Ovis aries: one gene and its partners. The protein of the gene in region 3 interacts with the protein of the main gene of each other region in a biochemical or structural test. Links are inferred from orthologs where the notes say so. Each region holds a gene or a part of one and is shown on either strand. Other genes may lie near its edges. The genes, in order: MAP3K1, ELK1 and MAPK8.

What was found.
Region 1: of the proteins of MAPK8 (region 3) and MAP3K1, one has a biochemical effect on the other in vitro, tested with the Homo sapiens proteins (3 studies listed by BioGRID, with this or other methods). The link is inferred for Ovis aries from reciprocal best matches to the Homo sapiens genes MAPK8 and MAP3K1.
Region 2: of the proteins of MAPK8 (region 3) and ELK1, one has a biochemical effect on the other in vitro, tested with the Homo sapiens proteins (3 studies listed by BioGRID). The link is inferred for Ovis aries from reciprocal best matches to the Homo sapiens genes MAPK8 and ELK1.

What each region holds. Positions count from the first base shown.
Region 1 is NC_056069.1:22,545,081-22,556,481, forward strand, and holds part of MAP3K1 (mitogen-activated protein kinase kinase kinase 1), read right to left. Parts: intron 8,593-11,401; coding exon 8,442-8,592; intron 7,810-8,441; coding exon 7,609-7,809; intron 4,417-7,608; coding exon 4,216-4,416; intron 2,955-4,215; coding exon 2,838-2,954; intron 2,458-2,837; coding exon 2,309-2,457; intron 1-2,308. UniProt on the Homo sapiens protein: Component of a protein kinase signal transduction cascade. Activates the ERK and JNK kinase pathways by phosphorylation of MAP2K1 and MAP2K4. May phosphorylate the MAPK8/JNK1 kinase.
Region 2 is NC_056080.1:57,179,477-57,190,877, reverse strand, and holds part of ELK1 (ETS domain-containing protein Elk-1), read right to left. Parts: intron 3,718-11,401; 5' UTR 3,684-3,717; coding exon 3,474-3,683; intron 1,074-3,473; coding exon 630-1,073; intron 1-629. UniProt on the Homo sapiens protein: Transcription factor that binds to purine-rich DNA sequences. Forms a ternary complex with SRF and the ETS and SRF motifs of the serum response element (SRE) on the promoter region of immediate early genes such as FOS and IER2.
Region 3 is NC_056078.1:41,788,465-41,798,893, reverse strand, and holds the end of MAPK8 (mitogen-activated protein kinase 8), read right to left. Parts: intron 5,937-10,429; coding exon of another isoform or gene 5,932-5,936; coding exon 5,786-5,931; 3' UTR 1,406-5,785; downstream 1-1,405. UniProt on the Homo sapiens protein: Serine/threonine-protein kinase involved in various processes such as cell proliferation, differentiation, migration, transformation and programmed cell death.

The DNA of each region.
Region 1 (11,401 bases), on a different chromosome or scaffold from region 3:
TTTTTATATAAAAAATGGGTTCATGCATGACAGATAGTATATCTAGATAGTATATATAGATAGTATAATCTGGATTTTATTTCATTCCATTCAATAGTCTTCAAAAGCATAATTTTAATGGCTGCATGAGATATTCATAACATGGGTATATCTTAACCATTCAGTTGCTGGATATTTAAGTTGTTCCAAATTCTTCACCATAGTACTGTGAAAAACAGCCATATATGTAAGTCTTGGGCATTTTTCAGATTAAATATTTTTTCTTAAAAAAAAAAAAAAGTAATACATATACTGGATGAATGACTGTAAATGTTTTCAAAATTCACATTACTTTTTTCCAGAAAGGCTATACCACTTTACATACAGTAAAGCATATCTTGTAAGAACTGTCTCATTACAATCTATTAATTCTGTAAATTAATCTCATATATATATAAAAATATATATTTTTAAATAAGCATGTTCTTAGTTTTTTGGTTGCCCAAACAGTTTTAATATGTTTGTTAGCCCCTTGAAATTCTTCTTCTGTGAAAATTATTCTCATACTCTTTGCCCACTTCTGTACTGGATCACAGGTTTCTATTGTTTTGGTGGTACTGTTTTGTTCATTATTTTTTTATATACTCAATCTGTCCCAATTCTGTTTTTCCTTGTTTCTTATATACTACTTTTAAATGAATATAAAATGTGATAAGATCTCCAGATAAATTTTCTTTTTGATTTTAGTCTTAAAATATTTACTTTAGACAGAAAATTTTGTGATTATATGAAACATTAACCTTTTTACCTACACAGTATACTTAGTTAAGATTACAACTTCTTCAGTTTCCCCCTTTGGATACAATAAATCCAAATAAATAAATTAAAAAAAAAACACACAAATTACGGCCAGCCCATATTTAGAGGGTGCCTTTTTCATCTTAGAGAAAGAGAGAGACACTTTCTATTGGCTACCTGGTTTTAAGCATTTCTTTCTTTTCCAAAATAAAAAGCTACAAAAATATCAATCAAAAGGAAAAAGGCTCTAGAATAAGTTTGGGTAAGGAAGCTTGAGAAATAAAGCTAATTTTTTCCATTTATTTAGAAGAAATGAAGGCTAAGAGAGAGAGTCCTGAACCACAAGTCAGGAGGGTTCGGTTCTGCGTCTGTTCAAATGACCTGTTCTGGTTTTACTTATCACTGAACCATGTCCCAAAAAACTCATAAAACTCTCATTCTAAAATCAATCCATTTAATAAAAAATAAGAAAATTCAAACATTTACTTTTTCCATAGATACTCTCTCAGTTCCTTACTTCATCACGCTCTTGCCTAATATCATCACTTTCTATTCCTCAACAATACTTAAAAGATTGATGGAATGCAAATGACACTTAATCACTTAGACCACTGCTTCTCAGACCAAAGTTCCTGAGAACACATAGGAGGTGCCCTTCTAAAAAAAGGAGTACTCTTTTCTGGAATAATTTTTAAGAACCTCATTTTTTTTCATTAAAACCAATAAAGAAATCTTGGAAAAGAAAGAAAACTGGCATGACTTTTTATGATAATACTCTTAATTTTTTCCACACCTGTCATACTGGTTTACAACTCAGATCTTTCAGGATTATGAGTTTAGTCTTATCAGCAATCAGGCAATGGAAAAGTCTGAGAAGCAACATAGATTTTAATTAATAACTATGATTAATGGGTATTATATCTCTTAATTACAAATGATTAGTCTCTTTGTTCAGAAGAGCCTACTTATGTTCTCACATGTAAAACAGGCTGTGATGAGGATTCCCTGAGGACTGTCTATGAGAGAAGCAGTGATATCATGAAATTTAAAAATCCTATATTTGAAAGTAATTTTGGATAACCACTTTGCCTTGTACATAATTTATAAAAGAATTACAGACATATTCTTTACACAATGCCTCAAGTTCGTTATCTCCCGAAGTGGTAAAAACCTACCTAATAAAACAACATAAAAGGTGCGTGGCACGAAGTCATAATTGATGAACAGTAGCCACTTACTTTCTACCTTAATTTTTCTTATGAAGTGGACATTTATTACATTCTGATATTTCAGGTGCCATTTTCAACACTGTAGGCTTCAAGACAAAATATCCAAATATACTTTGATGACTTTTAATATTTTTTTCCCGTGATTTTTAACTTGAAATCCAAGATTCAATAGTTAAGTCATTTTAGAGCAACTTAACAAGTGTGTGTGTGTGTATATACATATATATATAAATAAATAAATAACCCCTAAAATTAAAGAGTAACACTGGATTAATGCTGTTAATTCCTTAAAAAGTACTGACCTGTTTTCTGAACTGGATGTAGACGTGCTAGATGACGACAGTGTATGAGAATTTGACATGCGTGAAACAAATTTCTGGATGGTGTTACGAGACGGAGCTTTGATCCTTGAGCTACGCCTACTGTGATATTTCTGGAACAAACTCTCAACCTAACATTGAAAAAAGACAGCAACATGACATTTGTGCCATAATGTACAGAAAATGAGTTCTATAGGTTGAATTATTTGGCTTTTATTTCATAAGTTTTTCACAAAGACAATTTAAGAGCTTCAAAAATAAGAATACATATAGTTTACTAAGAACAGTATTTTTATAGGTCAGTGTTTATTTTTTTACTCTAGAAGAAAAAAACTAATTAGTCAATAGCTTATAAGAGAACTATTTACAGACATCAAGTAATCCTTAAATACATTCACATCTCTGAAATGACCACTGTCTAACTTAAATTTAAAGCTTATGGAAAAATTTCAGGAGTATCATAAAAATTAGTTGACAATTTTACTCCAGAGCATTTATTTAAAAAAATTACCTCAAAATTCTTTAAAGTTTTTCTCCATAACATTGGGTCTGAAGGTTCTAGCTGAAATACCCGGAGCATAACAAATAGCAGATGAATACAAAATGTTCCACGCCCACAGCTGCAGTTCTAAAGAGTTAAAAAAAAAAAACACAAAAAACCTCTACTTTAATAAATCCGTGTTCCACTAGAACTCCTAGGTTGATCCCTTTAAAAATATTTCCAAGTTTATTATACTAAACTTTCTATTAATTTCTCATTATCTTTATATAATAAGATATATAAGGATATGCAAGAAAATTCTACAGCTATCTCCATGAATTAATCTCTTATTTTTGGTTTATTAAAAAGACCAGGCTGGCTGGTCTGGTGGCTCAGTGGTAAAGAATCAACCCACCAGTGCAGAAGACAGGGGTTAGATCTCTGGTCCAAGAAGGTCCCATATCCCTCGGAGCAACTAAGCCTACGCACCACAACTACTGAGACTGTGTTCTAGAGCCCACGAGCCACAGCTGCCGGGCCCAGGAGCCAAGGAGACACAGCTGCCGGGCCCAGGAGCCAAGGAGCCACAGCTCCCGGGCCCACGGGGCCACAGCTGCCGGGCCCAGGAGCCAAGGAGCCACAGCTCCCAGGCCCACGGGGCCACAGCTGCCGGGCCCAGGAGCCAAGGAGCCACAGCTGCCAGGCCCACAGGGCCACAGCTGCCGGGCCCAGGAGCCACAGCTGCCGGGCCCAGGGGCCACAGCTGCCGGGCCCAGGAGCCAAGGAGCCACAGCTGCCGGACCCAGGGGCCACGGCTGCCGGGCCCAGGGGCCACAGCTGCCAGGCCCACGGGCCAAGGGGCCACAGCTGCCGGGCCCACGGGGCCACGGCTGCCGGACCCAGGGGCCACGGCTGCCGGGCCCAGGGGCCACAGCTGCCGGGCCCAGGAGCCAAGGAGCCACAGCTGCCGGGCCCACGGGGCCACAGCTGCCGGGCCCAGGGGCCACAGCTGCTGGGCCCAGGGGCCACAGCTGCTGGGCCCAGGGGCCACAGCTGCCGGGCCCAGGAGCCACAGCTCCTGAGGCCCACACACCCTAGAGCCCACGCTCTGCAACAAGAGGAACCACAGTGAGCAGCCCCTGCTCGCCACAGCTAGGAAAAAGCCCAAGCAGCAACAAAGACCCGGCACAGCCCTAAATAAGCCATAAAAAGACCAAATTTGTATTCTGAAGTATATCAAATCATAGTAAAGCCCTTTATAAACACATTAAATAAAGTGTTTACAGTTCCCCCAATAGTTTAACTCTCTTTAGATTACAGAAGAGAATTACATGCTAATTTAAGAATGTCACAGTATACTGAGTTAGTTCCAGATCCTAATAAAATGTAAAATGGTGACAGTTCCTACCTGAGGCCCGATAAACACCCGGTATTTGTTGTCTGGGCTGTCTCCTCCAATCAGGAAGGAGTTGGGTCCTATTTGCTGTAGTAAGTACAGCCTGGCCCGCATCACTTTGTTTACACGGCGGTTTGTTTCCTCGGGGCTGTATGGTGAGAAGCCATCTGGTGAAGGGGCTCTTCGAGGTGGTGTGATTCTCCCACTCTGAAACTTCACAATATTTTAAAAATTAGGTAAATTGCTCCTAAGAAATTTACTCCTCCATAAGAAAAAAAATGACCTAAAAAAGGTCACACCAGACCTTTTTTATATTCACCAAAAAATGCCTCAATATATAATATGATGGGACAAAATGTGTTTTGCAAATGCATTTGTCTGACATATTGCCAGAGTAAATTTTTAAAATCTGTCATCCTTAAAATAATAAATCTTTGGCTAGGAGAGACAAACGTATGGTAATTTTACAAATTATAAGTATCTGACATCTTTGAAAAGTTGTATGTAAACCAAAATAAAAAGCATAGAAAATGTGCTTCCTAAACAGGTAAAATGACTTGTTTCTAGGGATGAAAATGAAGCATCCAATTTCCTGGCTTCCACTTCAGGGATTACTAAATGTGCTTCCTGTGACCGGTCATTTACAAACAGTTCCATGGAATTCTCTGTGGAGAAGGAGGGGTAAATGACTCTTCCCAGGTTACGACATCTCACTGGAGGCTGCTGAAAACGCTCCTGTGGTGAGGGTGATGTGTGCCACTCACTCCACTTCCCTGATTCCCCTAGAACTTGGTCTTTCCATCACTGCCCAGCACAAAGTCTGGCTCTTTTTGATGCCAAACTAAACAGGTAAAAGGTAATAAAAGCTGGTAAGAAAATGAAGCGGTTGGGCGCCTCCAACAGGGCTGGTGGGAATGTAAAATGGTGTACCTGCTTTGCAAAACAATCTCACTTTGTAAACCTTTGTAAAGCAATCCCACTCCTATGTATATACCCAAGAAAAATGAAGCTATGTCCACGTGAAAATGTGTACAGAGCTGTTACCAGCAGCACTGTGAAGCCAGAAGTGGAAATCAAATGCCCACCAACTAATGAGTAAATAAACAAAATATGTATATCCATACAAGAGAATACTATTCTACAATTAAAAATGAATGGAATACTGATACAAGCTATACCATGGATGAGCCCTGAAAGCATGATGCTGGGAGCAAAACCCAGCCACAGAAGACTATACATATTATATGATTACATTTATGTAAAAGGTCCAGGCAAACTGTATATAGTCAGGAAGTAGATCAGTGGTTGCCTAAGGCTGGGGAGAGACTGCTAGTCTGGGGTTTTCTGCTGGAGGGATGAAAATATTTTAAAACTTGTAGTGATGGCTACAACTATGTATATACCAAAACTCAATGTACTGTACAACTAAATGGGTGAACTGTACGCTATATGAACTATATCTTAATAAAACCATTGTTTTTTAAATAGGCAATTACTAAAAAGTAAAACAAAACCCAAAACAAGTACACATGCATATACCATTGGACTTGCTAAGTATTCACACTATGGATATGTTCACTAGATGTGCAGAATGATGTATGCATAAAAAATATTTTTGCAAGACTGTTTTCAGTAATGAAAAGTTGAGAAGGAACATAAATGTCCGTTAGTGTGTAGTTCAAAGAAGCCATGAATGATCTTTATCCAGATAATGAAACGCTAGGTAGCCGTTAAAATGAGGAAGTCACCTTGTCTAATATATATCCCAAAGAGGGTGTAGGGGGACGGGAGACACAATTCTTTATTTGCGGTGGACTTTCATTTTGATGACCCCATGGACCACACCTCCCAGTATACTTATACACCCTTCTGTAGTCCCCTACCACACTGATTCTGGGATTTGAGCATGTAACTAGATTTGGGCAATAAGGCATCAGTAAATATAATCCAAGTGGTGGCTTGATAAGAGCTTCCATGCTGGGATTTGCTCTCTTGAATCACCTTTGTTTTTTGGCTTAACAGAAATGTATCATCTCATAGTTCCAGAGGCTTGAAGTCCACAATCAACGATCAAGGTGCTGACAGGGCTGGTTCCTTCTGAGGGCTGTGAGAATCTACTCCACCTGCTTTCCTAGCTTGAAACACTTGCTACAGCCTGATTTCTGTGCTCTGAGAAAGAGAGGCCAACAGCCCCCAGCTGCTCCAGCTGAATGAAGCACCAGACAGGGGAGTGAAGAAGCAGCCCTGGATGTTCTAGCGTCTGCAGATGCCACGGGAAGCAGACATGAGCCACTCTTGCTGAGCCCTGCCTATTTCAGATTTATGAGCTAAAATGATTGTTCCCATGTCAAGTTTTTTAAAAAATAGCTAATTTAAACATGTGTCCACATAAAGCTGATAAATACTGTTGAGAATCTTGGGCTTTACTGTAAAATTTACTTAAAATTTACTTTCTGAAGTATTTATGTGCTTTAACAACCTCAGGTGTGAGGAAACCCAAATCTCCCCCTTCTGGTCACTATACCACAATTATTTTGCCATCACTCATTTGCTTTTCAAGGTTAGAAAGTTTTAACTCGCATTCCTGCCAGTGGTAATCTCTCTGTCTTGGAGGGTCAGGACCTAACTTTTTACAAGTCTCTTTGATGTCTGGCTCAATACAGAGACTGAATCAGAGTACTGAATCTCAATACTGAGGTTCTCATCCATGCTTCTGCGTTCAGTCTGCTGTGATACAGTCTGCGTTCAGTCTGTATTTTGGTTGAATACATGAAGAGAATCTGGCCTCACGTAGACATGTATTTGGGAAATCCTTTTCAAATAATAACGAATATTCGTCTTTGATACTACATCAAAGGAATGGCAGATCTTCTAAAAGTTCATGTATTTCATGGCACAATACACACAAAAAAACCCACAAGTGATAATACCATTGGCTCATTAAAAGTCTAAGTACTGTGAAGCTATCAAACTGACAGCAGTGGATATGAGTTTTCCAAAACTCTAATTATTGCTTGAAATCTCAAATTTTACCACTAGTGAAGAAACAGATCAGCTGTTTTCCTTGAAGTGAGTCTTACTTAATTCTTTGTAAGGAAAATGTCTGTCAAATACCCAAGTGAGGAATACAGCTTCCACTGTCATACCTTTAATTCAGGCACATGCACCAGCAGCTTTACTCACCACTGTAAACCTCAATGCAGTGCAACAGGCAGATAACATCTCAGGGTTCCTACAAGATCAGTTTTGCCCTAATGGATCCACAGGAAGCATCTGAGGGCAGGCACCCTGAGCCCAGGGTCTGCGGGCACACTTTGGGAATGTTGATCTAACAGATGGTTAGCCAATCTTTCCTGTGTCCTAAGTAAGTTTTAAAATTGTAGAAAACTTAGCACATTTACTTACAGGCACCGGAGAAACTCTTTTTCTCCTTACTCCTGGAGATTCAGATTTTACTGTGCGACCTGAGGGGGAGCTGCCAGGGGAAGGGCTGCGTCGGCCTTTGGGAGCTGAGGAAGCAGTGCTCGTTGGGCCCTCTCCTTGAGACTCGGCTGCCAAGTTATTAATTTCAGATCCATCTCCTTTAATAGGGATTGGCTTTACCACCTAAATTAAAATGCCAGTATTTTATTACTTAAAAAATAAAACAAGAAGTAAACATGAACATAAGATCAAGACAAGAACTCAGTTTTTAAAATTATGCAATATTATACAAATACAATGGAAAATATATCAACTTTTCTTTATTAGTTTAAGCTGTAAGTGTAAGGCTATTTTTAACCACACATTTCAGTCATTTACGCTTCATCAATTGAATGTTGATATTTACATAAGGCATTTTAAAATGTTGTCATACATGAATTTTAAGAGATTTAGAATTAAGATCCTTAGATCCTACCTTAGAGATAAAACATCAAAATAAAACTGGAAAAATCGCTTTTCTAAGTACAGTATAAATCACTAATTAAAGGATTTTCGAGACACAGACATTAGAGGGCAGTGTTGCTTTAAGCATTACCTCTCCCACTCAACCAGAGGGATTACTCCTTAGAACAGTGTAAGTTGCTTAATGAGCACAGCGTTAGCTACATTTTGTTCAAGTGTCTAGAAAATGTCAAAGCAAATAAAACTGCCCAGCATTTAAAATGAAGGGGGAAAAAAAAAGCTTACAAGAGGATCTATTTATGCTTAATTTCCCACTTCCTCCTATGCTTGCTTCCTTCCAGCAGGTAACTCACCACGGGGCCTCTCCTGTTCCTCCGTTCCAGCCATTCATGCTTCCAGGCTGGCATACAGGTGGCCTTCAGTTTCTCCCTGATCATTCGTTCTTCTGGGCGATCGTCCATCTTGTGCAGTCCCTTGAGCGTTTCTTTATTCTCCATCTCACGACTAAAAACAGAAGGAAAAATAAGGAGAATGAGATTTATATATGAAAAATAATTTTCAAGAACAATATGGTTTTACTTCATACTTTCAATGGACTTGCAACTAAAAAGATAACTGCTAAAATCCCCGAATGACTTAAGCAAGATATGAAAATATCATTATGAATCATACTATGTTGTTGAATTTACACTGTAACATGGAGAGTGTTAAATGCTGCCTGATAACACTAGTGTAATAATGTCTTTAAAAAGTAAGGTTCTATTTAGAAGGCGCAGGCTTACTAGTAATACTAGCGCAGACCTTCCTTTGTTTCTAGGTAGTTAATAAAAAGCACCTCAAGACATTAAGCACTGTATTAACAAATACATTCGTGAAAGCTGCACTGTTTCCAATTACACCATTTTAACATACTCAAGTATATGACAGACAAATATTTAGAAGAGCTAATTATTACTATTTATCCCAGGAATTCCAATAACTTAAGTCAATATAGGTAAAATCTGGAAAATATGCTCATTTGCAGAAATAAGTTAAACATTTAATAATCTAGGTGAAACCTAACCACATCTTCTAATCCACAGTATTTTTTTCAAAGTCTCAATAATTAAACTTGTTTTCTCAGAAAATGATATTGTACTTGGGGTATTCCATATACAAATAGTAAAAATTTACCTGGTAGAAACATTTTGACCTTTACACGATAATGTATTGTGGAGTTATAATAAAATATCCAGGAAGCTGATAACTTTTGAGAACTAACTTTTCAAAACCGAATAGGTAAAACACCCACTAGCTTCAAAATACACTCATATCCACACACGGATATATGAAACACACAATATATATAGGCATGGATTTTAAAACCTGGTTTTATAAGGAAAGAGTTAAAGCAACTGCATCCTGGGAGAAGCAACAATTTAGAAAATACTCAGTGAACTTCAGTAACTATTTTGGAAACTCTGTAAAGCTATGGAACAGTTTTTTGTTTTTGTTTTTTTAATTACACTGATAGGAAAAGGAAATACCAGAGATGATAACTGCAAGCTTACCAAAAAGTCAAATTCAAACTCTTCTAGGAATATTCCAGCTAATCATTACTATAAAGCAGCAGTGTTTGCAAAGCAGCAGCAAACAACAACAAAAAACCCAACAATAGCAGTAACAGCCCCACCCAAGCCCCCAAACCTACTGAAAACAGGCACCAGAAAGGAAATAACAGTCAACTGGTTTACTTAAGCATCAATACTATGGAGGGAGTGGAAACCAGGGTATTAAATACCTCTGTGCCTGAAACTGGCCTAGATATTTTTACTAATGCAAAGAATACATAACATTTGAAACTTGCAGAGGGGCATTAAGACACACCACATAGTAAAATATCTCCATTACTCAGGTATAAAAACTGTCACAAAGAGAGGCAATATGGGACAGAGGGCACTGATTTCCTTTAAGTATGTGACTGCTTTCCCTGCTCTGAATATATCATAAATGTTAGAGGTGAGTCAGAGGAAGAGGGAGGGATGTAAGGGGAAGGAAGGGAGGGAGGAAAAGGAAGGGAAAAAGAAGGGGATAGGGACAGAAGGGGGGAGAGGGGAAAAGGGAGAGAGAAAATGTTTTCTCAAAAATTCATCCTGCTCAGTTGATCCTTACCCAGGGAAACTCAAATTTACAGGCAATCAAATTCAAGGGCTGATAGCACACTAAAAATTCACTTACAACTCTCTGGTATGAAAAGCACTTTCCACCCAGTAACAATGTTGCAAGGTATGGCTTAAAGATTCCCAGGCTAGTACTCAAAACAGAAGTCACACTGTAGAACTGCAGTGCATTTTTACGCCAGAAGCTCCTGCAACCGCGAAAAGTGCCCTCTTTCCCCTGGTCCTAGATCTCTCCTCCTCAAATTTGTTTCATGAGTATCTCTTCTCAGTTCTGTATTTTCAGTGTCTTTTTCCTAGTACCCACTCAAACACACAGAGAACTCTCCTTAACTAAACAAATCTTCCTCAATGACGTGGTTTCCTTCAAGTGGGTATGATTTTCCTCTTTCCTTTCCACTTGTTTGAAAATACTATAATCTTTCAAACCAATTTCTTATTCCTATCCTGTATTATTTATATTTAATGATATTAAATATAAATATTTAAACATACCAGTAGTTCAACTTTTGCACACATCTAAGATTATTCCTTTAGAATAAATGCCCTGAAATGGAATTGTTGGGTCCAAATGTACACAAATTAAGACTTTGGTTAATACAAATTATCCTCAAGAACACATACTTTCAGTCACAATGCTCAGGTCAGATTGTCACCTTAGCTGGTCTCAACTAGCAGCAGACTCCTGAGGGGGCTTCTTCACTTTGAAACGTACTCCAACCTCACTTCACAGAGCAGCCAAGGTCACTTCCCCCATTAAAACCCTCTGATGGTTTCCCCCTGGGCTGAGAGTAAAAATCCAAAATGTTATGGCTTATGAGGCCCTGCATCATCCAGTCTTACCTCAACTGAAGTCACCCAGACCCCCTCTCCCCTCACACTCGATTTCTTTCACTGACTGGCTCCATCTCTCCTGCTCAGGTTTTTTGCACAAGCTGTTTCTTGTCTCCTTTTTACCTCATTAATTTCTACTCACTCAGTGGCTTTTCTTCAACTCCTTACAGACCCTTCCCACTCTCAATTAGGAATCTCTAGTTCCACTCTTCCACAGCTCTGTACTTTTTCTCTGAAGTGTTCACTGCTGTAGGCACTGCCCCCCAAACTGTAAGCTCCATGAAGGCAGAGGACCAGTGTTTCCATATACCCAATGGCTAATA
Region 2 (11,401 bases), on a different chromosome or scaffold from region 3:
GATGCCTAAGGATTCCTGGGGTAGTGAAGCCAGTTATTTCCCATGGAAAGTGGGACCTGAGAATAGGGGCAGGTCCTTTAACAAGATGTGGTACTTTGCCAAGAAAATGGGGCTTCTGGTCCTCTTATCTGGGTTGCCTTCAGGGGTGGGACTCCAGGAAATACTGCCCCCATGTATAAAAGCAGTGGTTCTCAAAAATTTGCTTTATGGACCAGCAGCATACACCTCATCTGGAAATTTGTTAAAAATGTAGACTCTTGGGCCCATCCTCAGACTCACATAAAGAAAAACTCTCGGGGTGTCCCTCAGCACGTCTGTCTTTAAAAGCCCTCTAAGTGCTTTCTGATGAGTGCTAAAAGTGTGAGAGCCAGTGCATTAAGCAAATACATTCAAGGGCACCTACTACATATTGGGTGTACTGCTAATTGTAGTGCACTCAATTTCCTTCTTCCTTCCCAGGGTTTTGAATAGTTTTCCTCCCCATCTCTTTCTCCAAGGGGACTTCTGTGTCTCTCCTTCCATTATATCATCTTTAACAGGACATTATGTCCCTCCTCTTCCCAGTCCCTCTCTTCATTTGGGAACTGTACATCCCTCCTCTTGCTGAAATTCCATATTCCAGTCCTTACCTGCAGAGGCAGGCCAGCCTCCTCAGCTTCCAGGCAGGCCTCCAAGGGGTTTGGACTGGTGCTCCTGCTCCCCGAGGGAGGCACTGCTACTCCTGCAGGGCCGGTGTTGGGGAGCACTGTGGAAGGTCGAGGGTGAGAGGGCGGTTGTGGCTGCAGGGACTGGATGGTGAAGGTGGAATAGAGGCCTGAGCGCATGTAATCATTTCGGCTGCTGCGCGCCAAGCCACCTGGGCCTGCCATTCCTGCACCCTTGAGTGTGCCTGGCTTCCCAGAGGCAGTGTCCCCGGGGATGGCGTGTACAGCTGTGGCGCCTGCATTTGCCAGAGTGGAGGTGACAGACACCTCAGGCTGAGGCGGGCAGTCCTCAGTGGAGCACCCTGCGACCTCAGGGTAGGACACAAACTTGTAGACAAACTTCTGGCCGCTCACTTTGCGGATGATATTCTGGTAAGGGGGAAGAGACAGGATAGAGTGTCTTAGAAGAAAGGGCTAGAGAGAGTGGACGGTGAGGAGTGTCTCCTGGTGTTTTTTTCCCTTCATGCCTCTCCTGTCCTTTTACATATACACTGTCCTTGCTCAGTGTCTGTGTCCCCATAGGGTCCTCTTCCCAGCTTCTTTCACATCTCACTCACCTCTTCATCTGAGGCCTCCTCCCTTCTCCCCTACTTTCTACTACTCTTCCCCAACCCGATTTCCCTGTCTTCTCCTCCAGCTTCTTCCCCTTCTCTGTCTCCCCACTGCATAATCTTTCCTTTAGTCTACTGCCCTTCTCCCTGCCACACCTCAGTCCCATCCATCCCCGTCCAAGTCTCCCTCTGTCATACTCTCATCTTCTGTTAGGTTCCCCCACCCTACCTTAGATACACATGGCCACACCCACTGGCTCCTCTCCACACTGGGACCCAACTAGGGAAGCAGATCTAGGAACAGGCTTTCCTCTTGGCTCCTGGAACCAGGGGTGTCTGTGGGCTAACAGGGCCGGGCCCTGGGGGTGGCTGCCAGGACACAGTTTTGGAGTCTAGCTAATGCAGTAAGACAGGGAAATGAAGTCACTGATATAAATGTTGGAAGAGACTAAATGAATATGGAAGAATATGGTGATGAATTGTTAATAAATATGAATTATTAGAGGATGATTTAAAGCTCTTGACACAGCTGTGAAACAGGGCAAAGTCATCAGGGTGGAGAGGATGAGGAGCCTTATTCTTAATACCACTGGAGAGGTTTAAGCTGAAACAATTGGAAAATGAAGTGACTGATAGCAACTAACAAGAATTTAAAATACTGGTAAAAATACTGTGGGAATCTTAAGGCTGGCTTGGGTGGGTCACAGAGCACGTTTGGGGTATTTCAGGATAGCCCTGGAGGATCTCAGGGATGTTCTAGTGGTTTCAGTGCATAGAGTGAGGCAGACTCATTATGAATAGTGTTCTGGAGGTTTGAGCTAAAGGATTAAAATATAAAAATATAAAAAATATAAATATATTTTAAAAAATGAAATAAATGCTGTAAGCGAGTTAACGGTGGGCAACAGCACCGGTCTAGGGCTGTTCTGAGGGACAAGAGGCATCTGGGGGGCATTAGGGCACCCTGAAGACATCTTCATGTTGGCCACGAATGTCACAGGGTGGGTTTGTGTTTCTCAGAAAAGGAATGAAAAGGGAGACTCATTAATATTGTCTGAGAAGTTTCAGTGTGGGGTGAGAGGAAAGGGAATTGGATGAAGGCAGTCAAAAGGCACAAACTTCCAGTTATAAGAAAAGTAAGTACTAGGGATATAATGTACAACATGATAAATGATTCACACTGCTGTATGTTATATATGAAAGTTAAGAGTGTAAAGAATTTTTTTCCTTTTTATTTTGTATCTGTATGAGCTGGTGGATGTTTATTTAACTTATTGTGATAATTATTTCTTGATGTATACAAGTCAACTCTTTATGCTGTACACCTTAAACTTATACAGTAATGTGTGTCAATCATACTGCAGTAAAACTGGAAGAAGAAAAACATTGTTTTGGAAGTTTCAGGTAAAGAAATAAGAAAATGAAATAACTGGTATAAATGTGAGGGGGGATATCTAGCACTGGTTTGGCAGTCTGAGAGGAAAAGATAAGCAAAATTTATAATTTTAGCTACAGGAATAAGATGATAAAATAAAACAACTGATATAAATATTGGAGAGGACTGGTGTTGCTCTGGGAATACAAGAGGATGGGGTGTGGAGCGGGCATTATACACGTTGTTTTGGAGGTCTTAGCTAACGAAATCAAATATGAAAAGAATTGATAAAAATGTTGAGGGCCTTGGAGGATGAGATAAGCAAAGGTTAGGATAATGCTATCATGGAGACTTTGATTCTAAGAATAAGGCTATTCTAGAATTCTTATTCTGGGATAAGAGCAGACCATGAAATACCTGGGGGAACCCAGGACTGTTCCAGGATGAGGAAGACTCATTATTAATAGTGTTTTCAAAAGTTTTGGTCAGAGGAATAAGGAATAAGGCAAGAAAATGAAATGTTGTGTGGGGTGTGGTTGGGACAGAAGGACTCTGGGGATCTCAGAAAGAATGGAGTGAGTAGGGGGTCAGTATTAATGTTGCTTTGAAGGTTTTAGCCAAAGTTAAAATACAAGAAAATAAAATAACTGGAATAAATGCTTGGGGGCCCCAACATTGGTCTGAAAGTACCAGAGGATGGGGTAAAAAATGGTAAATTTTAATACTGTTTTCAAAACTAGAGCTAGATCAAATTAAGACAAGAAAATGAAATAACTGGTATAAATGTTTGCTGGTGTGGGGGGCGGGGGAGTGGGGTCCCAGCCCTGGTCTCAGACACCTTACCTTGTCATAATAGTACCGCAAAGCCCGGCTGAGCTTGTCATAGTTCATGTTGGTCTTATTCTTGCGCAGCCCCCACAGCCGGGCCACCTCCTCAGCGTCCACCAGCTTGAACTCACCGCCATCCCGTGAGGTCCAGGAGATGATGTGGCCATTGCCTTGCTCTCTTAGCAGCTGCAGCAGAAACTGCCACAGCGTCACAGAAGGGTCCATCGCTGGGGAAGTACTCACGCCATCCCAGGGATACCTGGAGGGCAGACAGCTCAGAACTAAGAGGCTGTGAGTATATAAAGGGGAAGAGGTCAGTAGGAGAAAGATTCCTTTCTTTCCACCTTGCCTCCACCTCTGTCCTCAGCTACCACCATCATTCCCTGAGTACCCTCAGCCTGGCTTTGGATTATGGAAGGGTGGGATGAGAATTTTGGAAATGATACGACAGTGTGAATGTGTTCTGCCTGTGGGACAAATGTGAACCTCTGGGGGCCAAAGGGCAGACTGTGCTAGGCAGAATAATGTCCCCTACCCAAATATGTCCACGTTCTAATTTCTGGAAACTGTGAATATGTTACATGGCAAAAGGAACTTTGCAGATGGATTTAAGGTTATGGACCTTAAGCTAGAGAGATGTTTGGGTGAGCTCAATCTCATCACATGAAGCTTCCAGAAAGGAAAGTAGCCCTGCTAACACCTGGATTTTAGCCTGGTGAGACCTGTGCTGACCTTCTGACCTCCAGAACTCTTAAGAGAATAATTTGTATTGTTTTAAGCAGTTAAACACAAGCTGGAATCAAGACTGCTGAGAGAAATATCAATAACCTCAGATATGCAGATGACACCACCCTTATGGCAGAAAGTGAAGAAGAACTAAAGAGCCTTTTGATGAAAGTGAAAGAGGAGAGTGAAAAAGCTGTCTTAAAACTCAACACTCAGAAAATGAAGATCATGGCATCTGGTCCCATCACTTCATGGCAAACAGATGGGGAAACAGTGGAAACAGTGACAGACTTTATTTTGAAGTCACTGAAGATGGTAACTGCAGCCATGAAATTAAAAAATGCTTCCTCCTTGGAAGAAAAGTTATGACCAACCTAGACAGCATATTAAAAAGCAGAGACATTACTTTGCCAACAAAGGCCCATCTAGTCAAAGCTATGGTTTTTCCAGTAGTCATGTGTGGATAAGAGTTGGACTATAAAGAAAGCTGAGCGCCAAAGAATTGATGCTTTTGAACTGTGGTATTGGAGAAGACTCTTGAGAGTCCCCTGGACAGCAAGGAGATCAGTCCATCCTAAAGGAATAAGTCCTGAATATTCATTGGAAGGACTGATGCTGAAGCTGAAACTCCAATTCTTTGGCCACCTGATGGGAAGACTGACTTATTTGAAAAGACCCTGATGCTGGGAAAGATTGAAGGTGGGAGAAGGGGATGACAGAGGATGAGATGGTTGGATGGCATCACCGACTCAATCAATGGACATGAGTTTGAGTAAACTCCGGGAGTTGGTGATGGATAGGGAGGCCTGGTGTGCTGCAGTCTATGCAGTTGCAAAGAGTCGGACACAACTGAGTGACTGAACTGAACTGAAAGGAGTTAAAAGTTTGTGATAATTTGTTACAGCATGAATAGAAAACCAGAGCAATGCCCCTCACCTGAATATTTTCATTTGCACCTTCTACCACATCAAATACCAAGTTTCCCAGGAGGTTCCCTCTGTCAGCACCTCATAAAGGCTGTTTACTCCATGCTGGGTTCCCTTCCTCTGCTTTCAAGTCTTCTCCTTTGTTCAAGTCTCAGCCCCAAGGAGCCTTGACTTTATGAAAATTCCTGACACTGAAATGTCTGCTCTCTTCTGTCTGTCTACCCCATGCTCCTCTGACCTGTTCCTTTCCTTCTGATTCTCCTTCTTGACAACAGCAGTAATGAACATCTACTGAGTGCTAAATATGTGCCAGGCATTGTACCAATTAGAGGCAATATGGCCTATTGGACGATGACCCGGGCTCCAGAGCCAGACTGCCAGGGCTGGAATCCTCATTCTGCTACTTATTAGCAGTGTGACCCTGGGTGTGTTCTTTAACCTCTTTGGGCCTCATTTTTTCCATCTCTAAAATAGATGATAATACCACCTAGCTCACAGGGTTATTGTACAGTAAATATACTATGCCTGGGGTATGATAAGCTCTTACCATTTCTAATTTGTTCCTAATTCTTTATCTGCTATACAGAATATCCATTTCTAATTTGTTCCTTACTCCTTTTCTGCTACTCTAAAACCTGATTTGAAACAAAGTAAGGCCTTTTGTGGTCTTTATGGATCTTCACTTGGTGTGATTGTTCATACATCTTGCTGCAGAAATCTGAATGTAGCTGATTACAGAGCCCACTAAGAGTATTACGTAACATCTCGTATGTGTACCTTGTTACTTTTCTAAAATCTGAAAAATTCAAAATTGTGAAACACATCTGGCCCCAAGGGTTTTAGATAAGGGCATGTAGACCTCGATTGCTATTTTTACAGCTATTGACTCATTTCTCTCTCATCACAACGTTGGAAAATAGGTACTCTTATTATCTCTAATTTATAAAGGAGGAAGCTGAGGCACAAAATGTCTAAATGACATTTACATACCACGCAGCTCTAAGTGGCAGAGTCAAGATTTGGACCCAGCCAGCCAAGTTCCAGTTGTCTGAGCTTTTTAACCATTAGACTAAACTGCCTCTCATACTGACTATTCCCTCAGCATGTCATGCACAGAATAGGACCTTCCCTGGCCTTCTTCCCCCCCAACCTATTAACTGCTCGTTTTGCTGAGTGTGAGTTGGAAATAAACATGAACTTCCTATTCCTTAAGGAAAGAGTTTTTATCAATCACCCAGCTGGGACTGCTGGGTTAAGAAAGAACATCTTTCTATAATTTATAGCTTGAGTCTTTAATCTGTAATGAAATACAGTCTGATCCTCTTATGTCTGAGCTGTTTCGAAGTTCATTTGGCAGACACAGTTTCAGGCAATTATGTAAGTCATAAGGCCACAAAGTATCCAGATTACAGTCCCGTCATCAGAAACCTTGCTTGGTTTATTTGGAAGGCCTGTTTGTTTCAGAGGCAGAGAGTCCACTGTGACTCCTGGTGGTGACAACAGGCAATTTTACCAGTTCCCCTTTCAGCAGCCACAGAATCTATCACTTAAGGTGAAACCTGACAGTTGGCTTCAAGCCTCAGCAGCACACGAGGTTTTGTATTTTGTTTATTATCACATCTCCCACATAATCCCTAACAAGAGTTCTAGTCATATGCCTCTCTCAGATGCATTTACTTCTCTTTATTTCATTCATTTAGCAAGCATTTATAGAGGGCTTGCTGTGGGCCAGGTGCTGGGGAGACAGCAGTGGATACAACAAAAATCCCTGCTCTGGCATAACTCCCATTTTAGTGGGGAAGACAGACAAGAAGCAAGATAAACAAGAATTCTTCAGACGGTGATAAGAGGTCTGGAAAAAAACAAAGAAGCAGGGAGAAGTTACTTTCTGAAAAGGTATTCACTGTGGAGGTGATATTTGAGCAAAGACCTAAGAGAGGTGAAGGTGTCAGTTTTGTGACAACCTGGAAAGCAGTCATCCAGGCAGAGAAAATAGCTCTGGTGAAGGACCCTGAGGCTGGAGAGCCTGGCAGGTCAGAGGAAGGCAAAGAAATCTGGCACGGTCAGAGAGAAAACAGTGAAGGGAAAGTATCAGCACTAGGACCTGAGAGCAGAGGGGCAATGGAGGCCAGACTGTGTGAGGCTCTTTTAGGCCAGGAAGGGCTTTGACTTGACTGAATAAGATAGGAGCCATGAGATGGCTGTGAGCAGAGAAGTGACAGGCTGGGACTTGGATTTTAACAGACCCTCAGGCTGTTGTGAGGAGAACCAGCTGTAGGGGCTGAAGAGGCTACTGCAATAGTCCACGTAAGAGATGGTGGTGTTAGCAGTGGAACTGGTGAGAAGCGGCTGAGTTCTGGATAAAACCTGAAGACAGAACGAATGGAATTTGTTGACAGATAGCACTAGGGGTGGTGTGGGGTGAGAGGTGACTCTAGGTTTGTGGCCTGATCACCTGCGATAGGGGCCCTGCGGGAGAGCATGTTTTGAAGGGAGAACATGGGGTCAGATTTAGAAATGGTCAGTCTCAGAGGCCTGTGAGACACCTACATGTATGCCAGGAATAATATTACCAATTTAAAAAACAGGAACCAGCCACATAGCCCTTACCATTTTAGTCATTTGACTCATTCAATCCTCAAACCAACATCATGGGTGGTCACTCTTATTACCCTCCCATGTTCCAGGTGAGGAAATGGAGGCACAGAGAAGTAATACAACTTGCCTAAGATCACAAAGAGACAGGGATCAAACTCTGGCAGTTTGGCTCTAGGCAGTGATCCTAGCCACTTTGTTCCACCTGCTCTCTATAGAGCAAAACTGAAGGGTAAGATCCTTGAGGGGGACAGGAATGCTATTTTACACAGGGTGTTCAGGGAGGGCTTCCCTGAGGAAGTGACATCTGAGTAGAAATCTGAAGGAGGGGAGGTAGCAAGCCATGCTGACATCTGTGGGAAGGGTCTTTCAAGCACAGGGAACAGAATGTACAAAGGCTCTGAGGTGGACTGAAGCTTGGCATGTTACATCGTGGGCACCCTGAGTTCATCCAGTTCCCATCTCTAAGGATATGCATGTGCTGTTCTCCCTGCCAGGAGTGTCCTTCCCTCTTTTCAACATACGATGAACCCTTTATTACACACATCATTAAGTTCTGAGATCTCCCAGGCAGAATTAATTCTTCCTCTGTGTGATGAATAACCTGTCTACCCCAGCAGATCTTTCTTCTCTCTGGCTTGCCAGCCTCATACTCCTCTATCCTGTTCTAGCTCTGTGACCATGAGCAAGTTACTCAACCTCTCTGGGTCTGTTCCTGTACCTATAAAATGGGGGATATGCCACTCTCAAAGTTAAGTATCTTCAAGATACACCTACTCTGAAAGGTTTCTGGGAGGATTAAATGTCAGTATATGCCAACATCCGCTGGATTATCGAAAAAGCAAGAGAGTTCCAGAAAAACATCTATTTCTGCTTTATTGACTATGCCAAAGCCTTCGACTGTGTGGCTCACAATAAACTAGGGAAAATTCTGAAAGAGATGGTAATACCAGACCTCTGACCTGCCTCTTGAGAAACCTGTATGCAGGTCAGGAAGCAACAGTTAGAACTGGACATGGAACAGGCTGGTTCCAAATAAGGAAAGGAGTACGCCAAGGCTGTATACTGTCACCCTGCTTATTTAACTTATATGCAGAGTACATCAATAACCTTAGATATGCAGATGACACCACCCTTATGACAGAAAGTGAAGAAGAACTAAAGAGTTCTTGATGAAAGTGAAAGAGGAGAGTGAAAAAGCTGGCTTAAAGCTCAACATTCAGAAAACTAAGCTCATGGCATCCGGTCCCATCACTTCATGGGAAATAGATGGGGAAACAGTGGAAACAGTGGCTGACTTTATTTTGGGGGGCTCTAAAATCACTGCAGATGGTGATTGCAGCCATGAAATTAAAGGTAAGGTCAGAGAAGTTATTTGTTTTATTAATTCACAAGGCAACCCACTCCAGTATTCTTGCCTGGAAAGAAAGTTATGACCAACCTAGACAGCATTATTAAAAAGCAGAGACATTATTTTATCACCAAAGGTCCATCTAGTCAAGGCTATGGTTTTTCCAGTAGTCATGTATGGATGTGAGAGTTGGACTATAAATAAAGCTGAGTGCCGAAGAATTGATGCTTTTGAACTGTGGTGTTGGAGAAGACTCTTCAGAGTCCCTTGACTGCAAGGAGATCCAACCAGTCCATCCTAAAGGAGATCAGTCCTGAGTGTTCACTGGAAGGACTGATGTTGAAGCTGAAACTCCAATACTCTGGCCACCTGATGGGAAGAGCTGACTCATTTGAAAAAACCCTGATGCTGGGAAAGATTGAGGGCAGGGGGGGAAGGGGATGACAGAGGATGAGATGGTTGGATAGCATCACTGACTCAGTGGACATGAGTTTGGGTAAACTCTTTGAAGTTGGTGATGGACAGGGAGGCCTGGCGTGCTGCAGTTCATGGGGTCACTAAGAGTCGGACACGACTGAGCAACTGAACTGAACTGATATGTAAAGGACTTATGCTCCAGCCACGCTGGCCTCCTTCATGGCCCTTGAACACGCCAGGCACAATCCCTCCTCAGAGCCTTTGCATTGGCTGTTCCTTCTGCCTGGTACACTCTTCCCTTACACATCATGGGTCCCTTCCTGAACTCCTTTAAGCCTTAATTCAAGTGTCACCTTCTAAATGAGGCCTGCCCTGTGCCTAAGATTCTAACCACCCTGATACTCTATTCCAACCTTCCCTTCTTCACTTTCGCTCCTTAGCACTTGTCTAACATACTAATTAGACTGACTTATTTATATAGTCTGCACTCTTAGCAAATGTCTGTTCCACAAAGGCAGGGATTTCCGCCTGTTTTGTTCCCTTTCATATCCCCAGCACCTAGAAGAATGCCTGGTGCTCAGTAAGTGTTTGTTGAATAAACAGTCCTGACTGACTAGCCTCTTAACTAACTCTCTTACGCCCTCTTCATCTCCATCTGTCCCCAACTCTGATTTGTCTGAAATTGTTATTTTCTTCATTCATTTGTGCAATAAATTCTTATCAAGTACTAGGTAAGTAATTTTAGGTGTTGGAGACTAGCAGTGAATAAGCAGACAGAAAGAGTTCCTCATGGGACTCCCATTTTAACGGGGAAAGACAATAAATATGATAAACTGGTGAACAGAGTGCCTGACAGTGATAAAGGGCAAAAACACAAATAAAGCAGAAAAAGGGCCTGAGTCCTGCTAGGTGTGCAGGTTCAGATGGTCAGGGACAGGTGACATTTGAACAGAGTCCTGAAAGGAACCATGCAGAGATGGGGGTAGACTGTTCCAGGCAGAAAAAATAGCCAAGGCAAAGACCCCAAGGCTGGATTTCTCCTGGTGTTTCTGAGGATGAGTGAGGTCATTGTGGCTGGAAGAGAGTTAGGGGTGGGTAGGAGGTAAGGTCTGGAGAAGGCAGTGGCACCCCACTCCAGTACTCTTGCCTGGAAAATCCCATGGATGGAGGAGCCTGGTAGGCTGTAGTTCATGGAGTTGCTAGGAGTCGGACACGACTGAGCAACTTCACTTTTACTTTTCACTTTCATGCATTGGAAAAGGAAATGGCAACCCACTCCAGTGTTCCTGCCTGGAGAATCCCAGGGACGGGGGAGCCTGGTGGGCTGCTATCTCTGGGGCCGCACAGTCAGACACAACTGAGGCGACTTAGCAGCAGCAGCAGCAGGAGGTAAGGTCAGAGAAGTTATTTGTTTTATTAATTCACAAGGCAACCCACTCCAGTATTCTTGCCTGGAAAATTCCATGGACAGCGGAGCCTGGCAGGCTACAGTCCATGGGGTCGCAAGAGAATAGGACATGACAGAGCAACTCCACACGCACATTCCTTATTTACCCTGGAGGGGATTCTAGTTCTGATGCCCCCACTTTACCAATGAGGAAACAGGAGAAGAGAGAGAGTGGTTAAATCACAAAGGTCACATAGCTGCTGGAATCGGGTGTGGATATGTCCTGAGACAAGGTGTGGAATGGAGACAGCTGAGGGAACAGCAAAAACCAAAGCGTGGAGATAGGAACTAATTTGGTTTTTTAAAGAATGAGGCCTCAAGTGGGGTGAGATGAAGCGAGAGAGGAAAGCATCAAAAATTATCCTATGTTCTGAGGAGCAATCTAATCTGATACCTACTGGATCACCTTTGAGTAAGGTATCCCTATGCTGAACTTCCCTCAATACCTATCTTAAAGGTTGCATTAAATGAGCTCATTAAC
Region 3 (10,429 bases):
CTAAGCCTGTTCATATTAACTCCATTCACAAACTAGCAGTTCCTACCGCCTTTAAAATGATGACAAGCTCTTCAAAATGTTTCACTTCTGATCAACTTTTCAGTCTTACCTCCCATCATTCTCTCCTTACAGTCATACCCCACTAGGCCATTCTTCCCTTCTCATTCCCTTTACGTGGGAATGCCCTCTTCTCCAAACTTTCCTTGAAAAAATGCTTCTTCTGCAAAAACCCTCATTCCCTCTAATCAGTCCTTCCCTGTGTTCCTTCAGCATGACCTTCGCTCCTCCATTCAAAACTTATTTCGATCAGGCTTACTAGGCTCGAGTGTCATCATTTTTAGACCTCTCATGCCCAGCTTCCAACACAGGGTCTCAGACAGATTTGCACACACAGATGGAGTTAAATGAAATATGTTACCAAGCACGGAAGCAGAGAGAGAGACAACAGGATATGGTGAATGAATTATGTCAGACAGAAGTCTAACTTCACAGAACATATTTGAAGTTATCTTTTAGTTTCAAATGAAGTCCAAAGACGTACTGCTATAAAAGCTAAGAAAAAAAAAACCTCAATCCACAAAATCACTACAGATCAATTTTCAATGACAGAGTCAATGGATCTTTTAAGGAGCAGTACTAAAATAAATGTAACGCCGCAATTAACAAGAACCACTTCATTTTATCTGGTGTCACTAGGGCGTTACGATCGAGTGGAGATTAACTCGGCACTCAGCACGGTCGTCCGCTCTTGCCGTCCAGTCTATCACCGGCGGTCTCGCCAATGACTGTGATGAGACGGAGAGCGTCAGGCTGGCAACCGCATCAGCTGATGGAGCAGTAGTGGTCAGGTGGATACTTGGGCCTTGCCTGTCCTTTCCTCAGAACCAGGCGAGCATGAGTTCAGGTGAGGAGGGGTGTGAGCTTGTGGATATGACGGTTATCTGGAGCAAGAGTCGAGCAAGATAGATGAGAGTCAACAGACTGGACATATGCAATCAGTGAGCCTGCTAGCCTGCCTAGTACAGGCAAAGAGAACACCTGCATGGCAAAGCTGGAAATGCACTGAGCTGAAATCCCTGGGTGGCTTTGAAACAGATCCTTTTAAAATACTTCTTGCCAAGTGGTCTGCGGTCCATGTGACTGCTATCTCACATGGCTACTAGAACTAGGTTAAGGGCATTGAAGCAAATTCCTTTCTTAAGATAATGTTTCTCTAGCAAGTTCAAACACCAGAAAACCAGGGTGACAGTTTAGCCTTTTCACAATTTATATAAAATCCAAATCTAAGAGACTTGCCCTAGTATCCCTTTAATCCCAAATCCATAGGAAATCTGATACCTGCTCAGAAAAACTTTTTACCAAAAATTTGTATTTTGTTTTCAATGAAAAACTCTTAATTTCATAATTTTCATATCACTTTTTTCTTTTTTATTTAAAATATTATAACCAATTAACATACTAAGATAACATTGTTTACATTCCAGTGGTGCATGTTTAATGACTAGGGCATGAAGGATTAAAAACCACAATAATTATCTCAGCATTCCCTACAAAGCGCCCCATTCTGTTTTGTCTAGAGGAGGGGAGAGGAGAGGGATTGGAACACAGGGAAGGGAGCGGAATGAAAAGGAATGGCATCATACAGGGAGAAAAGCAAATGTCGATTATCATACTTAGGTTTCAGGTTTCAGAACCTGTTGAACAGGATAAACTATGAGAAAATAGATGTCACAGTCCAGGTAGACAGCTAGTTCAGTTTTAACTTCATCATTCGGCTAAAAGATTAAGAGCTTCTCAAAAATATACCAAATATCGGGCCTACAAAAGTAATTTATTTCTTCGTAAAATTTACTAAGATTTATTCCTTTTGTAAAATGTAAAGAATGGACTGATATCACGAGCAGGTTTCTACTTACAAAAAGAGACAGTAATAACGTCCAACGAGCACATCTAACACAATTTTCTAAGATACATAGTGAAAGATTTTACAGGTGAGTCTCTCTTACTGATGCAAGGTATATATTTTACATACTTACTGGTATAGTGTTGACACTGGCTATAAAGTACTTAACACACATAATTCACACTCAGTGAAGATCTAACAGTAAGGGCAACTGCTTACTTGGGAAAGCATAGAAAATTAGTGTGAGGTAGTTCAATAAAAACCTAGTTTAATTTGTAAGTTACTGTGAGAATAGAACATTGTGCAAAACTAACCCACAGGTAATATTTCTCAGAAGTTCCAGTAATGAAGAGAATCTAAATCGGAAATGGCCAGAAAGTGTTACTCTTACTAGACTCTCCTTAAGAGCACTTAACTAAGAGCAAGTTAGTTTGAAACTAATTAGGACGTTTTTTTCCTTACCAGTTTTTTAATCATACCCCAAACTATACATTTCTGCTTCAATGCCCTTTACCCCTTCATCTTTCATGCTATTCAGGAAAAATTAGTTTCCTCTGATTCAGGAAAAACCTAAGAGAGATCAGTAGAAACACAAGTATACTAAAATGTAACGGGTCCAGAGGCAACACTTAAGGGCTGCTAATGACAGGACAGTGGTGTCTGGTTTTCCTACTGGCAAGTTTCCTGGGGTCACGGGGCGTCATGCATTCACTCTACAGCTAGTGTGTGACTAATGAACAACACTCACAAACAAACTATAACAGTATTCTTGAAAATAGACTATGCTTTTACCTCAACATGTTGTACAGGCTTATGTCTAGGCAACAGTGAGTAGTTACATCCTCACAGTGTAGCACATACTGGCCGATAGTGTCTACCAAGTCTTATCTGTAACCCCAAATGGCTTCATTCGCCTGCTGCTGATTGCACTATCAGATATCCACATCCTCTTCACCTTCACCTTTTTAGACAACACAACAGGATCAGCATGGAAAAAAATAACAAAAGGGCTTATGGGAAAGTCTGCTGTTTTACATGCAATCAAGCTTCTTGCTATTGTTAAGGGGGTTGTGTGACAGCCTTCTCACTTAAGAGGCTGGCATTTCTCTTAGGAAGTCTGGTGTGAATACACTGTGCCTTTACCAACATAGGGCATGCATACTGGGAACAATCAGCGGCTGAGGGTGTATAACAAAATGAGAACTGTAGCAAACAGTACGAAAGCGCTGAGATGCTCTATTTTTGCCTGTTATAATTAAGCAATCCCAACAATACAATCATTTAACAAATGGTCAGTTTATATTAGAGGGTCACAGAGTCGTAACCAGGAAGAAATACACAGAAAGAATTACTTTCCTAACCTATAACGCTGAATAATAAATCTTGGTCTAAATAATTTTCTGACAGTAAGACCATGGGTATATTAAGTATATAAAGTTGAAAATCCAAAGTTATAAGATAAGCAAGGTGGTTTTACGTAAATACTGCTTGACAGAAATCTTATTTCCACTTATTTAAAAGGTGTTTAAGATGTTTTAAAGTTTCAAAAACTTCTAAAACTAAAAAGAACTAGCCCATCTTTAGCTTATTTGACACAGTTAGAGAAGAGGGAAAGTTGTATTGAGATACTGCATTTTAAAAACCCAGGGCACACAACACTTACAGACTTTGTTTTTAGGATGTATCTTAAGTCTACATGACTATTAAGAGTTTTGTTTTCTCTCAATCAACTGAAACATGCTGGGTGGCAAGTGGAGCTGGCATTTACAACAAATGATACTGTTAAAACACCTGGTTTTCCTTGCTTAACCAACACCTGCGCCAAGAGATGGCTCATCAGCAAGGAAGCAGAAAATGAAGGGAATCTTCTGGGAGCATGTCAGTTGTTAAAGTGCAACAGTGAAATAATCTATTCTATAGAAATAAAGCTAGGTAACTGTCAAGCTAATAAAACCTCAGCACATTCGTGCTCAAATTCTCCTGAAACTGCAAATCCAATCCTGTTTCTACAATTCAAGAGGTGTCATAGTCTCAAAACTTTATTTTGCCTAATAAAATTAATGCACCCTGTCATATGAGTAGAAAAGGAATAAAAAGACTGCCACTTCGAAAGAGGCTGGAAATCATGGCTTAAACAATCAAAAACAATCTTACTATTTTAAAACATATAAAATGGCTGTTAATGTATTTTGATCCTATATATTGCACATTAACAATGACCTAAAATACCTTATTCAAAAGGAATTTTGCACTGAATACATGAATACCGTGCCAAGTGGACGTTCATATGCCACACATTGAATCGCACCAGTTCCTACTCCTGCTGGTCATTAATTCCATTGGGCATTCTGCCTAGAACTTTTTGCTTATTTAAGTATGCATTTCCCAGTTCATTACAAGAAATCCCTCTTGTTCCAAAAATAATAAAAAGTGCCTGGGGCATTACAGACAACATATTTCAGAGATAATGAGACTTCAATGACATTTTACTTAAGAAAAATTCTGTTATAGAGAAATAATTTTGCAGATATAAAATGTAAACAATTAACATACAACTGTCAGGAGCAGCACCATTCTTACACTATTCAACATCCACATCGTGTGTTTTATTGAAAATTAGGTATTAAAAAAAATGAAAGACTCAGACTAAATAACTACCACTTATGCCTGCTCTGCTCAATATGAAGAAACAGTCCTTAGAAAATGATATCCTATATATGGCTGTGTGCTACTATTTTCAGATGAACGGTATATTGCTCATTTTATACATCACCTACAGAAATCTAAGTAGGCTTTGGAACCTCCCAACAGCTAGTATAAATATGATTACGCCACAGGTAGAATCAAATGGCCAGAAACACCCTGAGAACTGGTGCTCAACTGACTGACACTCTAACAGGAGACTGAATAGGTCCAAGGGCCCGAGGCTGTAGGAAAGAGAAAGACCAGACTCTAGATCATTGCTAGGACCTACAGCCTGAGTAGATTAACTCAGTGTATACAAAAACAGGCTCACAGCTAGTACAGGTGAACCATCTGTTTATTTGCGTTGAAATGTATTATTCATGAAGTATCCTCTTGACTTTATGTGATCATAAGCTTTGAGCATGCCACAAATTTGCAGGAAACACCATATTCTCTTACTGTACTGTTGGTGGGTGGGATACGGGGATAGGAAGATGGTGGTAGATGCCCAACACTTTCAAAGACATGCTCTGAGTTATTCTGCCATTCAGATGATGGGGCTTTTGCCAAAATTCACATAGGATTACCTATCAGTTGTATGTAACTAAATTAGAATTGGCAAGTAGCAAATATTGGAGGTTTTTTTTTTTTTAAAAAAACACGTTCATCATTTACAGTAGTTATTCCTGAATATAACTGGCTACAGGTTATTTTCCCTCACTCCTCTGGGGTTATTTCATTGATAAGCACATAACCCTAAAGGATAGCATCATGAACAAAACATTTGAAATAAATTCTAATAAAAAAAACTATAAAATCTTAAATAATTCATGATATAGGCAAGTCACCACATAATAGTTGCTTTGATAAACAAAATCTTACAAATTCAGTAAAAAAAAAAAATCAGCAGCATAAGATAAAGCAAATATGCAAAAATTTTAAACCATGATAAAATAATTAGGTTTACATTATACAGTTAATTACAGCAAAAATACACAGTTCTGTTGCTGTTTTAAAACACAACTTAAATTTTAAATTACATCACTTGAAATTAAAAAAAATAAACTACTTTACTACAAAATGAATTCTACATTTTTGAAAAATCACTCAAAAATAAGACCACTGAATTGTTTTCAAAGTAGTTCTATCAATGACTAAACAACTCCCCATCCCTCCCACCCCCCGAGGCCCAAGTAGTCATCTACAGCAGCCCAGAGGCCCAGCCGACGCTTCTAGACTGCTGTCTGTATCCGAGGCCAAGGTCGGATCTGTTGACATTGAGGACACATCATTGGCAGACGACGATGATGACGGACGCTGAGAGCCACTGGTCACTGCTGCACCTGTGCTGAGGAACAGAACAGCGAATCAGTTGCAGACAGAGTTGCAGATGGAGCTACCAGTACTGCGCTGACTGCCTCCAGTGGCCAATCATTTTTCTTTTGGTTTTAAAAGGCTCACTAAAAATAACCACAAGTGACACACAGCACAACACTAACTTACAAACAGTTCACTGCAAGCTGCGGGGCGAGAATTCGGAAAATGTCTGGAAACCTGGAGCCCCTGCCCTTTCTACTAATTTTTCAATTTCAGACAAGAATTATTCGAGACAAGAATTCTCAACTCCAAGCAATATTTAGAAACAGTCCTATAGCGAGATTCATGAACTCGCTTCAGACTGCGTGCGAATAATACTGATAATACATGCAAAACTGTCTGTATTGCATTTTGCTGTAGAGAGGATCTCAAGGGATGTATGACTCAAACAGTTAAAAAAAACTACAGCCCTAATAAATGTAAACTGGTGCAGCTTCTATGGAAAAAGAGTATGACGGTTCCTCAAAAATTAAAAAGAAAACTGCCATTCAGTTCAGTTGCTCAGTCATATCCGACTCTTTGTGACCCCACGGACTGTAACACGCCAGGCTTCCCTGTCCATCACCAACTCCCGGAGTTTACTCAAACTCATGTCCACTGAGTTGGTGATGCCATTCAACCATCTCATCCTCTGTCGTCCCCTTCTCCTCCCACCTTCAATCTTTCCCAGCATCAAGGTCTTTTCCAATGAGTCAGTTCTTCACATCAGGTGGCCAAAGTATTGGGAGTTTCAGCTTCAGCATCAGTTCTTCCAATGAATATTCAGGACTGATTTCCTTTAAGATGGACTGGTTGGGTCTCCTTGCAGTCCAAGGGACTCTCAAGAGTCTTCTCCAACACCACAGTTCAAAAGCATCAATTCTTTGGTGCTCAGCTTTCTTATAGTCCTACTCTCACATCCATACATGACTACTGGAAAAACCATAGCTTTGACTAGTCAGACCTTCGTTGCCAAAGTAATGTGTTTGTTTTTTAATTAGCTGTCTAGGTTGGCCATAACTTTTCTTCCAAGGAGCAACTGTCTTTTAATTTCATGTCTGCAGTCACCATCTGCAGTGATTTTGGAGCCCAAGAAAAAAAGTCTGTCACTGTTTCCCCATCTATTTGTCATGAAGTGATGGGACCGGATGCCACGATCTTACTTTTCTGAATGTTGAGTTTTAACTTAACTTTTTCACTCTCCTCTTTCAATTTTCATCAAGAGGCTCTTTAGTTCTTCTTCACTTTCTGCTTAAGGGTGGTGTCATCTGCATATCTGAGGTTATTGATATTTCTCCCGGCAATCTTGATTCCAGCTTGTGCTTCTTCCAGTCCAGCGTTTCTCATGATGTACTCCGCATATAAGTTAAATAAGCAGGGTGACAATATACAGCCTTGACGTCCTCCTTTTCCTATCTGGAACTAGTCTGTTGTTCCATGTCCAGTTCTAACTGTTGTTTCCTGACCTGCATACAGATTTCTCAGGAGGCAGGTCAGGTGGTCTAGTATTCCCATCTCTTTCAGAATTTTCCAGTTTGTTGTGGTCCACACAGTCAAAGGCTTTGGCATAGTCATAAAGCAGAAGTAGATGTTTTTCTGGAACTCTCTTGCTTTCTTGATGATCCAACGAATATTGGCCATTTGATCTCTGATTCCTCTGCCTTTTTAAAATCCAACAGTTCACATACTGTTGAAGTCTGGCTTGAAGAATTTTGAGCGTGACTTTGCTGGCGTGTGAGATAAGCGCAACTGTGCGGCAGTTTGAGCATTCTTTGGCATTGCCTTTCTCTGGGATAGGAATGAAAACTGACCTTTTCCAGTCCTGTGGCCACCACTAAGTTTTCCAAATTTGCTGGCATATTGAGTGCAGCACTTTCACAGCATCATCTTTTAGGATTTGAAATAGCTCAACTGGAATTCCATCACCTCCACTAGCTTTGTTCGTAGTGATGCTTCCTAAGGCCCACTAGACTTAGCATTCCAGGATGTCTGGCTCTAGGTAAGTGATCACACCATCATGATTATCTGGATCATGAAGATCTTTTTTTGTACAGTTCTTCTGTGTATTCTTGCCACCTCTTCTTAATATCTTCTGCTTCTGTTAGGTCCATACCCTTTCTGTCCTTTATTGTGCCCATCTTTGCATGAAAAGTTTTGAGGTTCCTCAAAAAACTAAAAAGAAAACTGCCATATGATCCATCAATCCCACTCCTAGGCATATATCCAGACAAAACTATAATCTGAAAAGACAGCATTCACTGCAGCACTATTCACAACAGCCAAGACACAGAAGCAGCCTGTATGTCCAATAACAGATCAATGGATAAAGACATGGCGCGCACGCACACACACACACACAGACAGACACACACATGCGTGCACACGCACACACACAAAGACACACAGACACACACACACCCCTTGGAATACTACTCAGCCATAAAAAATAACAAAATAAAGTGATCTGCAGCAATATGGATGGCCTAGAAATTATCATTCTAAGTCAGAAAAACAACTACCATATGATACCATTTATATGTGGACTCTAAAATATGACAAATGAATTTATCTATGAAACAGAAAAAGACTCACAAGGAGAACAGGCTGGTAGTTGGCCAAAATAAGGGGGGTGAGGGTGGCTGGACAGGGAGTGTGAGATGAGCAAGGGCAAACTACTGTATATACGGATAACTGAAGCACTTTGCTATATTCCAGAAACACAACATTGTAAATCAATTATACTTCAATAAAATAAATGTTTTTAATAAAACACCTGCCCTAATAAAAAATGCTTCATGACATCTTCTCACTGTAAAGTACAAACCATCCTTCTGATACATCCTGTTTTAAAGCAAAAGCCAGGACAAAGATTAAAATCATTTTAATTCGAAGGATCCTTGGTCCAGCTGCTCCATCTGGTTACATGACTTGCCAGAGCCACACAAGTGCTCCAGATAGGGAAACTCAGGTCTTGCTATTTCTGTTCTAGTAAGTACTTGATAAATGTACACATGGACTTCATAAAGAGATAAAAGTAGGGGAGACTCTTTTCCTTTACCAAAAGTATAGCCTAACAAGCATTTCCTGGATTTTAAAAAGTAAGAGGAATACTTAACCTACAGAAACATTCTCACAGTGCAACTGGGTCAGGAAGAAGAAATGACATTATGGGGTGGGGAATATGACCCGTGACTCATGCAATGGACAAGAGCTTTTGAACTACATGATCACTAAATAGGAATCATTCCAAATATGAGTATATTAAATAATGCAAGTTATACAGAAGTTCTTAAGAATACATTTATGGAATAAAAAGCAACAGTTTTCAAACTGAGTAATAAAAATTTCTAGGGGTGAGTTTCAGGAACCCAGTGATGTTAAAACCTAGCGAGTTGAAAACCACTGCTCCAGAACCCAGTACCTCAGTGTTTGAAATTATCCCTCCTTTCTGTCCAATGACAAGAAATAAAACATTAAAGTATGAGCGGTCCTCTGAGAGCTTGTCTTCAAGTCCAGCAATGAACTAACTAGAGGCCTTGGAACAGGCAAATCTCTAGGGCGCTGGGGCAGGGGCTGGGAGACAGAGGAGAATGAAACCTCAAGGGACGGAGCGGGCAATGGGAGGCGCACTGGGAAAGGAGGTGCATGGGATGCCTCAGGCCGGCAGGAGAGAGGAGAAGGAGGGGTGAGACCTCAGATTCCAGACCCAGGAGCCTATCGGGCTCCCAGTCACAGCGAGATGATGATACCAAACTTTTAAAAGTTCAATTCTGAGTATCACTTAGAGTCTTTCATCTACAGATTAAAATCACTTCAGAAAAAAAAAAGTTCAATTCGTACACTATAGGATGCACCTTTTCTGACCAAAGAGTATACAATCCCATGGATAGCTTCAAAGACCTGTACTGAAACAGTCAAATCATAAAAGTGTTTTATCACATATACTTTCTCATGCCTCTATTTTTTATCCAAATTTTATTTTATCCAAATTTCTTAATCTAATAAAAATTAAAATTTAAATGCATCATAAATTAAACTTTTTAATCTGAAAATCAAATACCTAAGGGAAAAAAACTTGTTTATTTCTGACCTTTCAAGCAATATAGTAAATTTTCAGTAAATTCTCTGAATGGCAATAATATGGAAAAATCTTTAATTTATCTGTATTTGAAAGTCTTCAATTTCTGGATCTGATATCTTTAATTTCAGGTATCTACCATTTCCCTCTCTGTTACTGTCTACATACTCAAAGGCATGCAAACTCATTTTAATATTACCTAAACCAAAATAAAGACAAGATGAAATCCAGGGGGCTAAATTATATATTTACTTTTTAAAATCAAGACAAAATGGTGTTATGAATTCCTGATATTTTGAGTAAGTCAATTGTTTCTTCTGTTTTTGCATATAATCAAGAACTGAATATTTTTACAGCATTAATTTACTAACGCTCTTTGCAAGCTGTAACTGAGAATCTAGAAAATG